Linked DNA regions of Schizosaccharomyces pombe. Changing the gene in region 1 together with any one later gene gives a genetic interaction. Each region holds a gene or a part of one and is shown in the gene's direction. Other genes may lie near its edges. The genes, in order: rok1, ani1, set3 and pfd5.

Region 1 (3,893 bases):
AATACTATTTGGATTGCATATTAGAGAAACTAATATCGATTCAACCATTTGAAAATGTTGTGAGATTGGTAAATCTACAAGATTCAAATGGAGATACCTCTCTATTAATTGCTGCTCGAAATGGAGCCATGGATTGTGTAAACTCTTTATTAAGTTATAACGCCAATCCTTCTATTCCTAACCGACAAAGACGTACAGCTTCCGAGTATCTTTTGGAAGCTGACAAAAAGCCACATTCATTGTTACAGTCAAACTCAAATGCTTCGCATAGTGCTTTTTCATTTTCCGGAATAAGCCCTGCTATTATCTCGCCATCATGCTCATCGCATGCTTTTGTTAAGGCAATTCCTTCAATATCTTCGAAATTTTCTCAATTAGCAGAGGAGTATGAATCTCAGCTTCGAGAAAAAGAAGAAGATTTGATTAGAGCGAATCGTCTCAAGCAAGACACGCTTAATGAAATTTCCAGAACTTATCAGGAATTGACCTTTCTGCAGAAAAATAACCCCACTTATAGTCAATCTATGGAAAACTTGATTCGAGAGGCCCAAGAAACTTACCAGCAGCTTTCGAAGAGGTTACTAATATGGTTGGAAGCACGACAAATCTTTGATTTAGAGAGAAGCCTCAAGCCACATACTTCATTATCTATTAGTTTTCCTTCCGACTTTTTAAAAAAGGAAGACGGACTTTCGTTAAATAACGATTTTAAAAAGCCGGCTTGCAACAACGTGACCAATTCTGATGAATATGAGCAATTAATTAATAAGTTAACTTCTCTCCAAGCTTCCCGCAAAAAAGATACTTTGTATATTAGAAAATTGTATGAAGAACTAGGAATTGATGATACAGTTAATAGTTACCGTCGTCTTATTGCAATGAGTTGTGGCATCAACCCTGAAGATTTGAGTTTGGAAATACTCGATGCTGTGGAAGAAGCATTAACCCGAGAAAAATGAATCTTGGAAACTTTCATTTACATCTTGTCTTAATGTTACGTTCTTTATTTAATGATACGAGTTATGATAGTTAATGATTTTATCCATGACACTCACTGTCAAACTGCATTTATCAACGTTATCATACTTTGATAGAAAAACACGAGTTATTTTATATATTATTTTCGAATGGAATCAAGTGGAAAAAACATATATTGCTCCTTCCTAACAAAACTATTATGTTACTTATTTATGCGCAGCTAAAACAATCTACTATTGTAAAATGATTTATCTCATTTACAGCGCGTGCTTCCATTCATGATTCATCCTTTTTGCATTCGCACGTTAATGATCATCTAAAGGATACCAAGTTACTGAGCTTCACTTTAATTTGAGGGTCCTGTTCAAATAGGTAAAAGAGTGATTAATACAAATAATCAATTATTTAATTGAAAGAAAATCTATAGCAGTATTTCTCGTAAATACGATATAAAAATATGTAACCTATAAACGCAGAAATCGCGTTTTTTTGAATACATTTATTATGTTTACTTAGCATACATAAATTTAATAACGCTGTTGGAATACACAATTTGAATTAACGTACTGGTTTAACTAGAGGACGTTAGTGCAGCCTTTCCCCAGCAGCTACCATACTTACTTTAGTCGTGTATATGTATAATTGAAAATTTCAACAATCTTTTATTTTTGTTCCTTCGTTGAAATATCTACTAAAATATTTTAACTTTGATAATTAAGTATTGCATAAGGAAATGGATGCGTTGAAACTTTTGACAACTAATGTCAAATTTAAGAATAAAGTACCTCAACCTTCTATAAAAGAAAAAGAAGCAAAAAAATTACAAGGTATTACTAAGGGAAAAGCTAAAGTTACTGGTAATAATCCTGTTGATCCAATTGAAGAGTTTCCGGAAGGAATACTTTGTGAAAACTTAAAAAAACAAAACATAACAGAATGTACCACAATTCAAAGATATGCCATTCCAACGATAGGTTCTAAACGAGACCTATTGGCATGTGCACCAACTGGTTCTGGAAAAACTATTGCATATCTATTCCCAATTTTGCAAAAACTTCAGTTACATGTTCCGGGTGGATATAGAGCGATTATCGTAGCGCCGACTAGAGAACTGTGCGAGCAAATATATAGACAGGCAGAAAAGCTGTCTTTTGGAACTTCATTGAAGATAATTGAATTAAGTAAATCTAATGAAAAAATTCAAGAAAAAGCGCCCAAGCTCCGGGAAAAGTATGACATGTGCATAGGCACCCCGATGAGATTAGTACAAGCAATACAAACCGGATTGTCCTTTGAAAAAGTAGAATTCTTTGTTATGGATGAAGCTGATAGACTTTTTGAGCCTGGCTTTATTGAACAAACTGATCATATTCTAAGTGCATGCACCAGCTCTAATATTTGTAAAAGCCTTTTTTCCGCTACTATTCCATCACGCGTCGAAGAGTTAGCTAAAGTCGTAACGGTTGATCCGATTCGAATCATCGTTGGTTTGAAAGATGCAGCCACGGATAGCATCGATCAGAGACTCTTGTTTGTTGGTTCGGATACTTCCAAAATTGTGATTTTGCGTCAAATGATTTCAAATGGAGAGTTAAAGCCTCGAGTCGTAATATTTGTTCAAGATATAGAAAGAGCGAAAGCATTGTACACAGAACTCTTATTTGATGAAATTCACGTTGGTGTCATTCATGGAGAATTACCACAAGCCAAGCGCGAAGAAGCACTTGCGAAATTTCGGAAGGGTGAAATTTGGGTTTTAATAGCAACAGATCTTCTTGCTCGTGGTATCGATTTTCATGGTGTAAAGATGGTCATCAACTTTGACTTTCCTCAAAGTGTTCATAGTTATATTCATCGTATCGGTCGAACTGGGCGTGCAGGAAATACAGGACAGGCCGTTACTTTTTTTACAAAGGAAGATGGTGAATATATCAAGCTTATTGCTGGTGTAATGCGTTCATCAGGTTGCGAGGTTCCAAACTGGGTTATGGCACTTCCTAAACCTAGTAAAGAAATGAAAAAGAAGTTGAAGAAGAGTCCTCCTAAAAGAAAGAGGATTACTACTAGAGCTTCTTACGACAGACAAAAGGAACAGCGTAAGAAGGAGTATATTAAGAAGGTAAAAAAAGAAGCCTCTATCAAAAAGCATAATGAAGCTACTGGAGACAGTGGACAATAGATTGTTGCTACTGAAAGTATTTATATAAAGGGTTTTGGGTTTTAGTTTAGTTTTTGTGTTCATTTAAAAAAGTCATATTCACTCCAAAATACTATTGCTTTGATATAATAGAGCCTTATATTTTTTAGCAATCATATTATTTTCTTTTACTTTTATTTGTGGTAAGAAACTTTTATGTTACTGTGGTACCTGACATATCTAACTTTACATCTTTTGTTTAACAATAATGCAGCAAGTGCTGTACGGCTTTTTAAAACTGATAAAAATCTACACGAGTACAATTAATGTAGGCGTAAACAGGTACAAGGAGATTATTTTATTTTAAGTACCCAACAGGGTTTTTGCAATTGTTATTTTAACTACAATTTGAAAGCTATATTACGTTGCTGACACTGTTTTATAATTTCTCGTTTTCGAAATCACGAGTGTGTTTCAGTAAATATTATATTGTTTTAACTTACTTTATATTGTGTATCATTGAAATTACCTATGAACGGAGAAAAATTGGTGTTACTTAATTGGTATATGGGAGTAGAAACTTCATCACAACCTTAACTTACCGAATCCCATCTCTTTCCAATTCAGGCTATTTCGAAGTATAATGTTTTCCACAAGTCGAATTATCTCTCGTATTAATTACAATTTTTTAAGGAAGAGTCACTACTCTACTAAAACAGTTGCTGAACAAGCCAAGGGTCGTTTCACTCCCTTAATCCAAAAATTATCGGGTATTTTA
Region 2 (4,001 bases), on another chromosome or scaffold:
TCAAAATCCGAAGCTGAATTTGATGCAAAAGCACTTGGCATTTACCCATTCTGGAAAGCAACTCATGAAGCAACCGTTTTAAGAAATCTATCCCATCCTCTTGAAAAACGAAACGAACACCCCAATTAACATCTACGGATATGGACCTCCGTGGGGTTTCATTATTGATTATATCGGTATCAATTCCTCTGGAAATATTGTATAAATGCAGACCGTAATTTACCCCAAAAGTCTCTTGAAGATTGAATTTTTCAATTCTTTGCAGCTGCCCAATAGTACGCACACCGTACAAATTAAAAAGTTTCTGCGCTTGTGAAGAGCCCACCCCTGGTAAATCTTGAACAGACAAAGGACTCAATACATCAAAAACATTTTCTATTGACAAAGAATAAACGTTGTGAGGCTTCGCCTTCCTAAGTGCAAGTCTTGCTAAGAGAACATTTGGGCCAATACCAACGCTAACTTCGCAATTGGTTTTCTCGCGAACCTGCGAGCGGATAGACTCGGCAATCTCAAAGCAATCTTGAAAAGATGAAACACTAGAAGTTATATCTAGAAGAGCCTCGTCTATACTTATAACCTTAATATAGTCGTGAAGTGTATTAACAAGGATAGTGTAAAATTCTCTAGAAACAGATTCGTATGCTCCAAAATCATAATCAACAACCCGTAATGAAGGACACAGGTTTTTAGCTGTTCCAACGTACATACCATTTTTTATGCCAAACTTCCGAGCCTCATAATTACAACTAGCTATTTCGGAATTTTTTATACCATGAGCAACAGCAACGGGCTTCAGTCGTAGCTCATGAGAAAAGCGTGTTGAAACGGAAGCAAAAAAGCAATCAAAATCAACATGAAGAAGGAAACGAGATTTTTTTGATTTATCTTTCATAATTGGACGAACAGGTTCAGAAGCAGTAGTCATTGCTTGGATTTCATTTTTAAAATCAGCTTTCCAAGTACTTAAGTGATGTAAACGAGAGGAGCTAAAGAAATTCTCAAGAAAATCTTGATTTTGAGTGGTTGAATTTCGGACATTGGGATTTTTTAACAATTGATAGTTGTGCAGTGAAGACGCTGATAATCCACTCAAATCATCTAAAAATCCCTTTGCTTTACTCTCTTTTGTTTTATCTTTTTCATTATCATGTTCTTCTTCCTGCGAGCTTGTTTGAATATCTTCTAAGTTACCTTCGGGTTGGCTAGGTTTAGAGGCGACAAAAGAAAGGGTAGCTTGAGCCGATGAAGCTTGAAAGGTACGATAATTTATCCACGGAAGAATTTTCTTCTGTTTGATGCAATCCACTATCCATTCTGGTTTAACCACTTTCTGATGCTTCCATTGGCGAGCTTTGGAAGGAGTGAGAAATGAACACACCAAATATGATATGCTTGTTTTTCCATCAACATATTGTATAAAAGTACCTCCATTTGAAACTATCATTTGCCGTAATTCGGTATAAGACGGCTTTGTATATCCATTAATCGCTATTGCAAGTCCATGAAAGAGATCAGATTTAGAATCTTCATCAATACTTTTGTATAGAGCGGCATTTTGATTTTGAAGCTTTCTTTGTTTCCGGGAAAAATAATCTGCATAGTCGTGGAACCCAACACTTTCGTATGCCTCATCGTTTGCTTCGTCAAAGTCTGCAATCCCTACTGGGCGTCGACGCTTCCTTTGATTAAAAGCCATCCAGCGCGCTTCTCACTTTCAGTAAATATAAGTATTAATATGTTTCTGAAAGGAAAATAATACAAATAATAATGTAGCCACTTAAGCGGAAAAAGTGTAATTAATAAACAAACAATGTTTATAAAGAAAAACTAACTGCAAGAGCTTTTTTCTTTCATTATTTAACCTTATCCCAAAACTCGTGAAGCCAAACTATTTCAAAGTAAAAAACAACGAAATATCAAAAATAATTACTACGCGTTTGTTGTGATGCACGCTCGTCCAAATTTAATTAATTTTGAGTATAATTTGCAAATCGCGGTAATACGCACTACCCTTACTTAATGGAATACACAACGGTTTATGTATCAAAATTTTTTACATCCTCTACCACCTCACCTCTTAGGCAAGAATAAGTCATGTCTCTTCCAATTGCTGTTTATAGTCTTTCGGTAAAGGGAAAAGATGTTCCCGCTGTGGAGGAATCTACAGATGCATCTATTCATTTGACTATGGCATCCATTGATGCCGGCGAAAAGTCTAATAAACCAACTACTTTATTGGTGAAGGTTCGTCCCCGTATCCCCGTTGAAGATGAAGATGACGAAGAACTTGACGAACAAATGCAAGAGCTTCTGGAAGAAAGCCAGCGTGAATTTGTTTTATGTACTTTGAAGCCTGGTTCCTTATACCAACAGCCTTTAAATTTGACCATTACTCCTGGCGACGAAGTCTTCTTCAGTGCATCTGGCGATGCAACCATCCACTTGTCTGGTAACTTTTTGGTTGACGAAGAAGATGAGGAAGAGGAAGAATCTGACGAGGATTACGATTTGTCTCCTACTGAGGAGGATCTTGTCGAGACTGTCAGCGGTGATGAGGAAAGTGAAGAGGAATCTGAGTCGGAAGATAATTCAGCATCTGAGGAGGATGAATTGGATTCAGCTCCTGCTAAAAAGGCACAGGTTAAAAAAAAACGTACTAAGGATGAATCCGAGCAAGAAGAGGCTGCTTCTCCTAAGAAAAACAATACCAAGAAGCAAAAGGTTGAGGGTACCCCTGTTAAGGAAAAGAAGGTTGCATTTGCCGAAAAACTTGAACAAGGACCTACTGGTCCCGCTGCTAAGAAAGAAAAGCAACAAGCTTCTTCTAATGCACCTTCTAGTCCCAAGACTCGTACTTTAAAAGGAGGCGTGGTTGTAACTGATGTTAAAACTGGGAGCGGTGCGTCTGCTACCAATGGGAAAAAAGTTGAAATGAGATATATTGGGAAGCTCGAAAATGGAAAGGTTTTTGACAAAAACACTAAAGGTAAACCCTTTGCTTTTATCCTTGGTCGTGGTGAGGTTATTCGCGGGTGGGACGTCGGCGTTGCTGGAATGCAAGAAGGCGGTGAGCGTAAGATTACAATTCCTGCTCCCATGGCTTACGGCAACCAGAGCATTCCAGGAATTCCCAAGAATTCTACCTTAGTTTTTGAAGTCAAGCTTGTTCGCGTTCACTAAATTTTCATGTTGAAGATGAACATACTTTAACTCCCGTGTTTAAGAAGATCGCGGATTAAACTATGTATTCTATTAACTCTTTTTATCGCCTATCTTTTTCTTAGGTTTCAAAAAAAATCAGGGTATCATTTTGTATTTGAGTTAGGAAATTTTTTTTTAGTTAAGTGTTACAAACACTTTGGATATAGGACTTTTGGATGATTTGGATTGTTGGGTGATAAAGGAGATATAATCAATATACAATTTTTTAGAAAGAGCTGTTTGTATGTGTATGAGCATTAAGAGAAAAGAGAATAGCGCTTCCTTGATCGATACTAGTTAAGGATGTTTAAATTATGGAATTTTGAGTTTGAGTAAATATAAACGAGAACATTCCGAAAAACTCTATTAAAAGTAAAAAAAAACATATTGATAATAAAAGAGCCATTATCTGATTATCGCTAAATAAGTCTACAAACAGCTGTTTGTTTACGAAATTCTTAAAATTAATTATCGTAATAATCAACTTAAAAAAAAACAAGCAGTTTTAGAATTTAAAGAATTATTTTTATTATTTGTCTTTTTTCTATATTGTTTATTTGAAAATTGTGCTTCTGTTTACAGGCAAATCTTAAGGCGGGCATATATTTTTCTGAAACGTAAACAATCAACATGCCCAAATCAAGCAACTTGAAAATGCAGAGAAAAGGCTCTTTAAGAGAAAACGGTCTCGTGAAGGGTTTAAATAAAAATAGTAAGATATAAATTGGTGTGATAAATAAGTTAATGACATAGAATTTTCGATCAGCAAGTTAAAAGAACTATCTCATGCAGATGAC
Region 3 (5,676 bases), 4.4 Mb from region 1:
GGGAATATGAGGTTTGTAGAGCTAAATGCCTTCAAAGTATTTATTACTAACGGAAATTTAGGGTACATACTTGCTATTTCTGCTCGGGTCCTGTTTACCCAGGACATGGAATAATGTTTGTTAGAAATGACTCCAAGGTCTTTCGTTTCTGTCGCAGCAAGTGCCATAAGAACTTCAAAATGAAGCGCAATCCTCGTAAGGTATGTTTTTTTTATAATAAAGGAATGCAAAAACGTTATACAGACTTGGTTGAGGAAGATGATTGATTTTGAAAGAGGAAAAATTTTTTTCTGTTGCCTTGTTTTGAAATGATACTTTTCTTCTTCAAATTCTACCTTAAATGGTGTACTTTTTCCTTTATATGCCCATGAACGAAGAAAGTTTTCTATTGTTTTTTTAAATGTTTTGCTTCCACCTATATGTATGTATACTAACTTCAATGTCTAGGTTGCTTGGACCAAAGCGTACCGTAAGGCACATGGAAAGGAAATGGTTTATGACACAGCTCTCGCAGTTACCGCAGCTCGTAGAAATGTTCCTGTTCGTTACGACCGTAATGTCATTGCAACTACTTTGAATGCCATGAAACGGGTTAGCCAAGTTCATGCCAAGAGAGAGCGTCTGTTTTACAAAAAGAGATTGGCTGGCAAACGTGCCCAAGAGCTTCAAGAAGCTCAAAAACTCATTGCTCAAAATGTTCCTCAATTTACCGAACCCGAAGGTGAGGTTGAAACTGCTGAGGTACAAGAACCCCAAATTGTTTCCGACGAGGAGTATACCATGGAAGAAGAAGTTGCAGAACCTGTCAAGATTCCCGTCCTCGCCAAAAAACGCAAAAACAAGAAATCTCGAAACTCATCTTCAGCCATGCAAATGGACTAAACACTCTTCTTCCTACAAAAATGTAACTCTCGATCTTCCGTTGGTTGCGTCCCGCTTCGTTCTTTTATTTTATTTTATTTTATTGTTTTATTCCTTTCAAATTTACAAAATAGTAGAAGAGAAGACATTTTTGGGGAGTGGTTTTCTTACACTTTCGAACTCTTTAGACACTTCGAAAACGTGTTTTTTAAAATTTATCTTGCATATCTAAAGTTGGCATTTGGTTTCGGCTTCTCTTCTCGTTTGGTTACTTCTTTGGACTTGCATGCTACGTGCAGATTAATATGGTTAATAATGGATTTTCGTGTATACATACTTGTAAACGAACCTATCTTCAGTTTGGAGCTTGTACAAGATACAACAGTCTAACAGTTTGAAAAATGGTTGTTTAGGAATAAATTGGTTTATATTATTAGTTTCGTTTATCACAAATGCCTCTTCGAAATGTAAAATTCTACTAGAACGATAGAACATTGCTTCATTATTTGGATTCAATTCTCCATGAGGTATATTTAGTAAGTCATAAAACAGTAAAGACTTTGTCATTTATGCTGGTTTCCTTGCATATACATTTCTCTATAGTTGACAAGCCTATTCAAGTCTCATATCACTGTGGAACTCATGAAAACAGATCCCTCTCCTTGTAAAGCTGTTTAAACCCTACAGTCCAATGCTAAAGGTTGTTAATTCTTTAGAGTTGCGAGTCCGTTATTGACGTTTTCGATTGCTTGCGCACACTCACTAACACCATACATTAGCTAACTACTGACACATTGCACCTGCCGTTTATCTCAACTCATTGTCTTAGTAGATGATTTTTTTTTTTCAAAATGGTTTCTTAGCAAGACTCATTAAAAACTCCTTGACAGTTTTATTACCTTCTAAAATATGTAAAATGAGAAGTTTCATAGAGAAATGAACTATTCTTCAACATCTTCTTCTCTTTGTTTTTACCGAGGAGACGTTAGACTGCGGAAACGTGGTTTATGGGACGTGTGTTTACACTCGGTGGATGGAAATGTTGAAGAGCGGAATAATCGCGACGTCGTATCAACTACCAAAATCGCGTATGCAAATTGAAAACAGAGTATTTGTTCAACTTACATGGTTTTTCGAGTATTTATATACTAGATTCCTAGTTTTAGGAGAGTTCAGATAATCGAGATAGCCATTGGTATAGTTGGGGCTAAAATCTTTGCTTTCATAAGAAAGCAGTAATTTCCAAGGTTAAATTGCTCCTGTACAGAAATTAGCGTTTATGAAATACTTCTTTACTTTGTTATAAGTTGATCGTTTTCTCTTTGGTTAAGTTAGCATGTGGAAAATACGATGCGTTTGTCCATTCGAGGATGATGACGGATTCACCATCCAATGCGAAAGTTGCGAGGTATGGCAACACGCCGTTTGTGTAAACATAGATGCAAATAATGTTCCTGAAAAATATTTTTGTGAACAATGCCAACCTCGTCCTATCGATGCCGACAAGGCGCATAAAATTCAACTAGCTAGGTTACAGCGCGAAGAAGAGCAGTCTAGGATATTATCGCGATCCCGTTCTTCCAACAACAAGAGAAGAACTAGTTTTGGCAAAAATGGTGCTAGTCCTACACACTCTGCGTCACCGAGACAAGGCAATAACACAGGCGCTAATGGCGCTTTATTTTCACAGTCTACCAACTCTTCGAACTCGGGGTCTTATCGTAACAGTGTGACTGGTGCAACATTGCCCAATGCTCATGCTCCACATTCTCAGAATCGCAGACGAAGATCCAACCACCTTAACAACCCACCAGAGGCTCCAATCACCGAGGCTTCTAACGAATATGTGTATTCGTTTCACTTGGAATACGTCCCTTTGGAATCAAACACCTTTTCTGCATCTGCGCTTGAGTATTCTAAGAATTTGGATTTAAAGAATTTAGATGAATCCGAAGTTTTAATGGATGGATGCCAAGTCGTACCTATATCATCTTCAAAGTTTTGTTGTAGTCGCTTTGGTTTGGTGTCAACTTGCGAAATTCCTCCAAATACACCCATTATGGAGGTGAAAGGAAGGGTTTGTACGCAGAATGAATACAAAAGTGATCCCAAAAACCAGTACAATATTTTGGGGGCTCCTAAGCCACATGTCTTTTTTGACTCAAATTCTCAGCTTGTTGTTGACTCACGGGTTGCTGGTTCAAAAGCGAGGTTTGCGCGTAAAGGTTGTCAGTCAAACTCCGTCGTTTCAAGTGTTTACATGAATGGGTCTAACAGTGTTCCTCGATTTATCCTCTATTCAACTACTCACATAGCTCCGGAAACAGAGATTATTGGGGATTGGACTCTCGATATTTCCCATCCATTTCGCCAGTTTGCGCCTGGTATGTCGCGACCCTCCTTCAATATGGAAGAGTTGGAATTACTTTCAGAAGTGCTTTCTACCTTCCTGTCGTTTAACGAATGTGCCTCACAGGATAAGAAAAACTGTGTTTTTTCCAGAGTTACTAAATATATTAAAGCGGCCCGCCGCGCTTCTACTGCAAACCGTGTCAGTGTAGCAAAAGACCGTTTGTCTCTGACACCTTCCTCAACCCCTTCTACCCCTAGCCCTGCTGAATCATTACCGCAACCTTCAAACCCCACATCGGTCTATGCCAAATCCTTGAAAGAGTTTTGGTTAGATAAGTACCGTCTTAGTATTTTGCAAAAATGGCCTGCTGTTAAGTCATTACCCACAGAAAGTGTAGGAATCGATGTAGTCATGGAGCCGAAGTTACAGCCATCTGTGAAGGAGAAAAAACCAACTAAAGATTTACAATCTCCACTACCCTCTGTTGAGGAAGATTCCTCTAATAGGGACAAGAAAACTGATATTGCTGATTTACACACTGATTCTAAGGTGGGCATTGCAGACGTCTTATCGCCCATTTCACCCGATGCTGCATTACAATCCGATGGTCCATTGAAAAAAGCAAAGGAACCTGAAGAATCCTCGATAACCCCTACAACTCCTCCATCTTTTAATGTTGGAGAATCACTAAGTAGGCGATCAGCCTCACCATTACAACATCCTCGAACAAGCCCAGATATGCTGGACAAAACTTCTCCTTGCAAAAGAGGATTAGGAACTATTACGACAGTCCACAAAAAGCATGGTTCTGTTGATCATTTGCCGTCAGTTAAAAGACGCCGTAGCATTGCAAATGATTTTCATGGCAAACCTGATTATAATAAAAGATCGCTATCTATCGAAAGGAAGCCGGAAGCCTTTAAGACTAAAGGTGACAGACCACATAAGGTCCATCCTTCTTTCCATAGAAATTCAGATTCAAAATTGAAACTCGAGCCGTCGAGTAAAGAAAAGAGTGGGTCCATGTTTTTTAATACGTTAAGGACTGTAAAAGATAAATCGCATGTTCACGACACTCAAAGGTCTTCTGACGTTAACTTTTCTAGACAGAATGGCACTCGATCCCATTCACCTTCGGTTAGTCCTGTCGGGTTTTCGTTTGATAAATCTCCTGTAACTACGCCTCCTTTGCCGACAGCTCCAGCACCAGTTATAACGAGTCGCCATGCTTTGGTAAACAACCAATTTCCTACGAACAATCCAAACATTTTGGACCACAAAGCCAACAACGGTGATGATATCTCGAATGCGTTAAATACTTCAAGAAGCGAAAACAAGCCCAATTCGAATCTGGTCCAAGGAAGTGTAGTCAAGCCTAGTAACACTTCAGCCTCTGCTCTTCCTACCTCAGCACCGAAGAAGCTATCTCTTTCTGAGTATCGACAACGACGTCAACAAAACATTCTGCATCAACAGTCGAAGGATAATCAAGCACATGGCGATACAGCTAGGCCTCACACCGTTCCTGCTGCTACAGTTTCTAACCCTTCATTTACGCGATAAAAATTCTAGAAGATGTTGTAAATCTTGAAACCATATAAATGTGTGGATGATTTTTTTTATTGGATATGGTATACGAACAAGTTTTCACGATTCTAAAGTTGGTACGATGACTGCATCTTTTTACCTTCATATGTATTTTCATTTCATTTTTTTATTATGATGATTGGTACTCGGAGCATATTTTACTGTCACCTGCTTCTGCATTCTTTTCTTCTTCGTTTGTAAATATTTAATGACTAAGTGTTTGGGCGAAAACTCTAGTTCCTTTTTTTTTTTTTAGTTTCTTTTGATTCAGAGCAACGAACCCTCAGTCGTTGCATTTTTCTGTTCCTAATTTGCACGTTTAGAACATTGTACAATATAATAATATTAATTTATAGCAGTTAAATGATTTATGTTTGTCATATAGAAGTTTCGGTTCGTAAGATTATAAGAACTAACTATTTAAGATGTCAGCTATTTCCGTATGCGACATGTACTAGATTAAATAACTTTTTGGATACGCAAATGAAGCTAGTACATTTTGAGTATTAAGTATCATAAATATAAACATCGATTCAAATATGCTACGTGCAGATTTCAGCGAATTGTCGCATCAAATTAAACTATTCATCGACGATCCACTCAGATCTTGTATATATCAAACGGCCTACGTTAATATAGCTTGTCTACTTATAGCGACTCTGAAAGTGCGCCGTTAGATTATTGTGGTATAGAACCGGGAGGTTAGGTACCATTCCTCTCTCTCCATGAACCTACTTTTTTAAGCGAAACGCAAACAAAAGTAAACAATTACCAATGAACATTTCACGTTCATCAGGTCTGATGAGACAGTTCCTGCTTCAGCCCTTACGGAAAGGCTGCGACATTTCTTGCCTTGGAAGGTCAAGTTGGAGAAT
Region 4 (3,997 bases), on another chromosome or scaffold:
ATTTCTTTGCCGTGGTTTTTGTCGCTTTTCCTTTGCACAATGCCTTTACCGTATGCGTTTAGGTTGTTAGACTTTTTCTTTCTAGAGGGTCCAAGGGTTTTGTTTCAAATTGGAATGGCTATCCTATATGACAACGAAGCTGAAATTATGAAGGCTACAGAAGACACTATGTTGATATCAATTTTAAAAAATTATTTTTCATCATTGGGAGATAAGGCTTATAAAGATGCAACAGATAAACGCGTTGCCTCTATCACGAAGTTTCAACTTTTATTGGTAACTGCTTTCAAGAAGTTTAGCCATATAACACACTCTTTAATTGAAGATGAAAGGAAAAAACATTACGAAGGAGTTATGAATTCTATTGAGTCATTTGCAAAGAGAACACAAATTAGGAGTTTACAAAATTACGGTACATTAACACGTACGGATTTAAGTAATATTTACGACCGTTATCATGAAGTATTGTCGTCCAAACATCGAGTTGGATTAGGCAGCTCTACTGATACACGGTTGGAATTTGACGAATTTTGTATATTTTTAGCAGGAGTTACTGAATGGGCGAAAGGTTTGGATGCAGCGGCTATCAATAATTCATCATCCTTTCTTCGTCATTTGTTTTTACGATTTGACAAAAGCATGACTGGATCATTATCTTTACAGGATTTGGTGTCCGGTATTGCAGAATTGAAATTTAGGGATGTAATGCGCAATATATCTTTTATATTCGAGCTTTATGACTTTAATGGAGATGGTTTTATGGATAAACCAGACGTTTTGAAGGTTTCAGAAGCTATTCTTTGGTTAACTAGGTTTATGGGTGATGAGTATCTATCCGCAGTTAGCGAATTCATACAACGCTGCTTTCATTTTGCTGATGAAGCTAGTCCTGATGGTCATTCTGATACGTTGATTGATATAAGCGACCATATGAGCAGTACTGGTTCTGAAAACCGTTCTGTTGGTGCTAATAGTGATATCAAAGTTAGTCTTCCCACTTTTAGAATGGTTGTTTTATCAATTGGTTTATTAGAGCAATTATTTTCTGGAGGACTCGCCGACTCTATCGTTTTAGCTCCAGTCCAAGAAAAATCATCAACCACCGGAGGTTTGAGAGGTTTATTGGATTCTTTGGTAATTGATACCAATAGGATTGGTAAAACATTTCGTGGGCATAAACCCGCTTCTCGTCCAAGTACCGCAAATGGTACTAGCAATCAAAATACTACTTCTGAAATTACCACATCGGAAACTACGGCGACTGAAAAAACACCTTCAAATTCTTCAGATACCGAAGATGATGTTGGTGATGTTGTAGAAAACGATAAAGATTTGCTTCAATTTGATCCATACAAAAAAAATGATGCTTAAAAAGCTATACTTAAACTTCTAATCAATGGCACTATAATGCATCCTAACTAGTATTATTTTCCCAAATTTTGTTAATCTTCATGCTCATAATTTATTAATTATTGAAAAATCTATCATCTATATTGATATATTCTATAGCGTCCCTCTGCTCAATAACATATTCGATTCTACTTTCACTGTTTGGTATAATTCTGAATAACTGTTTAAAACAAATATTGTTTCAACCAACTAACTGATTGTATATTGAAATGGATTACCATGTACCTGTAATTTAATGCAGTGCAGCGTTGGAATTTCTACCAGTTCCTTCGTATCTTGACTGTTCTAATAGAAGCGTAATAATGGCTGAAGGTAATAAAGCGGTCGATTTGACTTCTCTCAGCTTGGAGCAATTATCAGAAGTTATAAAACAGTTAGATTCTGAGCTAGAGTATCTATCGACCTCCTATGGACAACTAGGACGTGCTCAATTGAAATTTCGTGAATGCCTGGCAAACGTTAACGATGCTGTGCGGGCTGAGAACGATGGTATAGACAAACTGAAATTTTTTTTGCATATGTTTCACTAACTATTGTCAATAGGAAAGGAGGTTTTGGTACCTTTGACTTCAAGCTTGTATGTTCCTGGAAAGCTGAATTTAGGAAACAGTAAATTGTTGGTCGATATTGGGACTGGTTATTACGTTGAAAAGGTATTTTTAATATATAAGAGATTTTTAAACCTAACGACATTAGTCCGCTGGAGAAGCTACCGAATATTATAAAAGAAAATGTGAATATCTCGCCAGCAGTATCGAGAACCTCAACAATGCCATTGACGCAAAATCAGTTCAAATTAGAGGTATGAGCATTTACAGTACAGATCAATTTTTATCTTATTATCAACAATTTGCTAATTCTCTGTAGCCGTTCAAAACATTATGCAACAAAAGGCAACAGCTACAACAGCTGCAACTAAATCTTCATAAGCTAAATAATTAATGAAATTTCAAAAAAAGTAAGTAAAGGATTAACCAATTATATGATGTGCATGCTTTTTGTTAGTTCTGTGAATCTTCCGCGGTAATGTTCGTTTGAGCGATAACTGGAGCTTCGTCGTCAGTATTTTCAGTGTTCATCGCCGCCAATGTTTGTAAGTAAAGAGCCTTGCTGTAAAGCAAACTAGTTTGCGCGATATTTTTTATGTCCTCGAAGTTTTCAGGCTCTGAAGAAGGTTCGATATAAACACGCTTATAAAGTTAGACCAATATAGCAGATTTATTATACTTACCTTTTGAAGAGAGTCCACCTTGCCATTTAATTTTTTGGCTTCGATTATTTCTAATAAATTTTTCTCAATGAAGTTCTCATCAATATGAAAATCAACTGCAATTTTGCTGAACGGCAAAGCACTGTAAGGAATTAAATAGTCAAGAAGTGAACGCTCCCGAATAAGGGAAAATAAATTTGTCAATTGAGGAGCCAGATACATGTCTAAAGAATAGTCTTGAGCATTTTGCTGTAATGTATCAAGCAAAAGACTATATTTGCGATTACATTTCGCTTGCAAACAACGTCTCAGGGAAGGGTCTAAATCTGACAAAGCATTGAACTCTTCATTTCTTTCAAGCTCTTGAATCAGACGTTTATGATCCCAGCACGCTAGTGCACAAAGTGAGATATACACTGAAATGTCAGTTTTTGTAATAATACCATCAGAGGTATCAGTTTCAACTTTTAAAAAATGAGCCAGGGCCTCTTCGTAATCACCCAAGCAAAAGTTGGCCAATCCACAGTATGCATAAATAGGACTAGTTAGCTCCATGGCTGCACTAACAGTAGACTTGGCGCGAGACCCGAAGGCTAGTACATGAGAATAATTACCAATCCAAATAGAAATTCTCATTAACTCTAAGGATAAATGAGCAATTTGTCCAGCATTTGTACAATATTCGCGAACTTTGGCATATGATCTTAAAGCACTATCAAACTGGCCCACATCAGCAAAAAAAGAAGCTAAATCTAGTTGTGCCGCCTAAAGTTGTTAGAATTGTAACAAAGGATGTAATAAAAAGTCTGTGAAGCAAAAAGTTATCTTGTAGCTCATACTCTTATAGATTCTCGTATTAAGTTGTTTTTATAGGCTTTTAGTTCCCTTCTTAATTGTTCTAGATTTTGTTTCCTATGAAAAGTAACGCTTTCAACCCATTCTACGTCCAGCTGCTCGTTTTCGAAGCAATCTTGAAACTCCTCGAATAGAGACTGGTACAACTCTAGATTATATGTCTTTTCTTTCAATTCTTTAATGGCATAATGAACACAAAAACTTCTTAACGGCTTAGAATTACGGGCGACAAACAGCGCGCGAAATATTTTGGACCATACTATGAAACTGTGAATAAAAGAATGACTTGCAAAAATGCATCAATTGAAAAACTCTTACCACCATATTCATCCAGATATCTCTTTAATTCTTCCTGATTGACTAGTAGATTTAAGCTCATAATAGAAAACTCGTAACTAGTCGGAACACTGTAGGTTATAGAATTGGCCAACTGGTTATAGGCCAGTGACGAGTACCAGATGTATAAAAGCTATAATAAGATGGTGATTTTTTCAAGTCGAAGATGTATGTAGTTAATTAGTT

What was found.
Region 2: mutations in rok1 (region 1) and ani1 together harm fitness less than expected from each alone (positive genetic interaction), as found in Schizosaccharomyces pombe (2 studies listed by BioGRID).
Region 3: mutations in rok1 (region 1) and set3 together harm fitness more than expected from each alone (negative genetic interaction), as found in Schizosaccharomyces pombe (2 studies listed by BioGRID).
Region 4: mutations in rok1 (region 1) and pfd5 together harm fitness more than expected from each alone (negative genetic interaction), as found in Schizosaccharomyces pombe (2 studies listed by BioGRID).

What each region holds. Positions count from the first base shown.
Region 1 is NC_003424.3:687,772-691,664, forward strand, and holds rok1 (ATP-dependent RNA helicase Rok1), read left to right. Parts: upstream 1-1,581; 5' UTR 1,582-1,711; coding exon 1,712-3,157; 3' UTR 3,158-3,351; downstream 3,352-3,893. Other genes in the region: MBF transcription factor complex subunit Res2, read left to right, coding at 1-959; atp20 (F0-ATPase subunit G), read left to right, coding at 3,759-3,885.
Region 2 is NC_003423.3:4,062,460-4,066,460, forward strand, and holds ani1 (FKBP-type peptidyl-prolyl cis-trans isomerase), read left to right. Parts: upstream 1-2,060; 5' UTR 2,061-2,097; coding exon 2,098-3,183; 3' UTR 3,184-3,501; downstream 3,502-4,001. Other genes in the region: deoxycytidyl transferase Rev1, read right to left, coding at 1-1,699; sporulation specific PIL domain protein Meu14, read left to right, coding at 3,835-3,916, 3,958-4,001. UniProt on the Schizosaccharomyces pombe protein: PPIase that acts as a histone chaperone. Histone proline isomerase that increases the rate of cis-trans isomerization at prolines on the histone H3 N-terminal tail. Proline isomerization influences H3 methylation thereby regulating gene expression.
Region 3 is NC_003424.3:5,039,003-5,044,678, reverse strand, and holds set3 (putative histone H3 lysine methyltransferase Set3), read left to right. Parts: upstream 1-1,934; 5' UTR 1,935-2,197; coding exon 2,198-4,777; 3' UTR 4,778-5,133; downstream 5,134-5,676. Other genes in the region: ribosome biogenesis protein rlp24, read left to right, coding at 7-11, 62-200, 448-882; etp1 (monooxygenase-ferredoxin fusion protein), read left to right, coding at 5,576-5,676. UniProt on the Schizosaccharomyces pombe protein: Transcriptional regulator that acts via the formation of large multiprotein complexes that modify and/or remodel the chromatin. Required for both gene activation and repression.
Region 4 is NC_003423.3:4,025,706-4,029,702, forward strand, and holds pfd5 (prefoldin subunit 5), read left to right. Parts: upstream 1-1,700; 5' UTR 1,701-1,712; coding exon 1,713-1,899; exon of another isoform or gene 1,900-1,953; coding exon 1,954-2,063; exon of another isoform or gene 2,064-2,106; coding exon 2,107-2,212; exon of another isoform or gene 2,213-2,277; coding exon 2,278-2,339; 3' UTR 2,340-2,411; coding exon of another isoform or gene 2,412-2,600; 3' UTR 2,601-2,641; coding exon of another isoform or gene 2,642-3,385; 3' UTR 3,386-3,438; downstream 3,439-3,997. Other genes in the region: SPOM_SPBC215.01 (GTPase-activating protein), read left to right, coding at 1-1,371; COP9/signalosome complex subunit Csn1, read right to left, coding at 2,412-2,600, 2,642-3,385, 3,460-3,734, 3,794-3,854. UniProt on the Schizosaccharomyces pombe protein: Binds specifically to cytosolic chaperonin (c-CPN) and transfers target proteins to it. Binds to nascent polypeptide chain and promotes folding in an environment in which there are many competing pathways for nonnative proteins.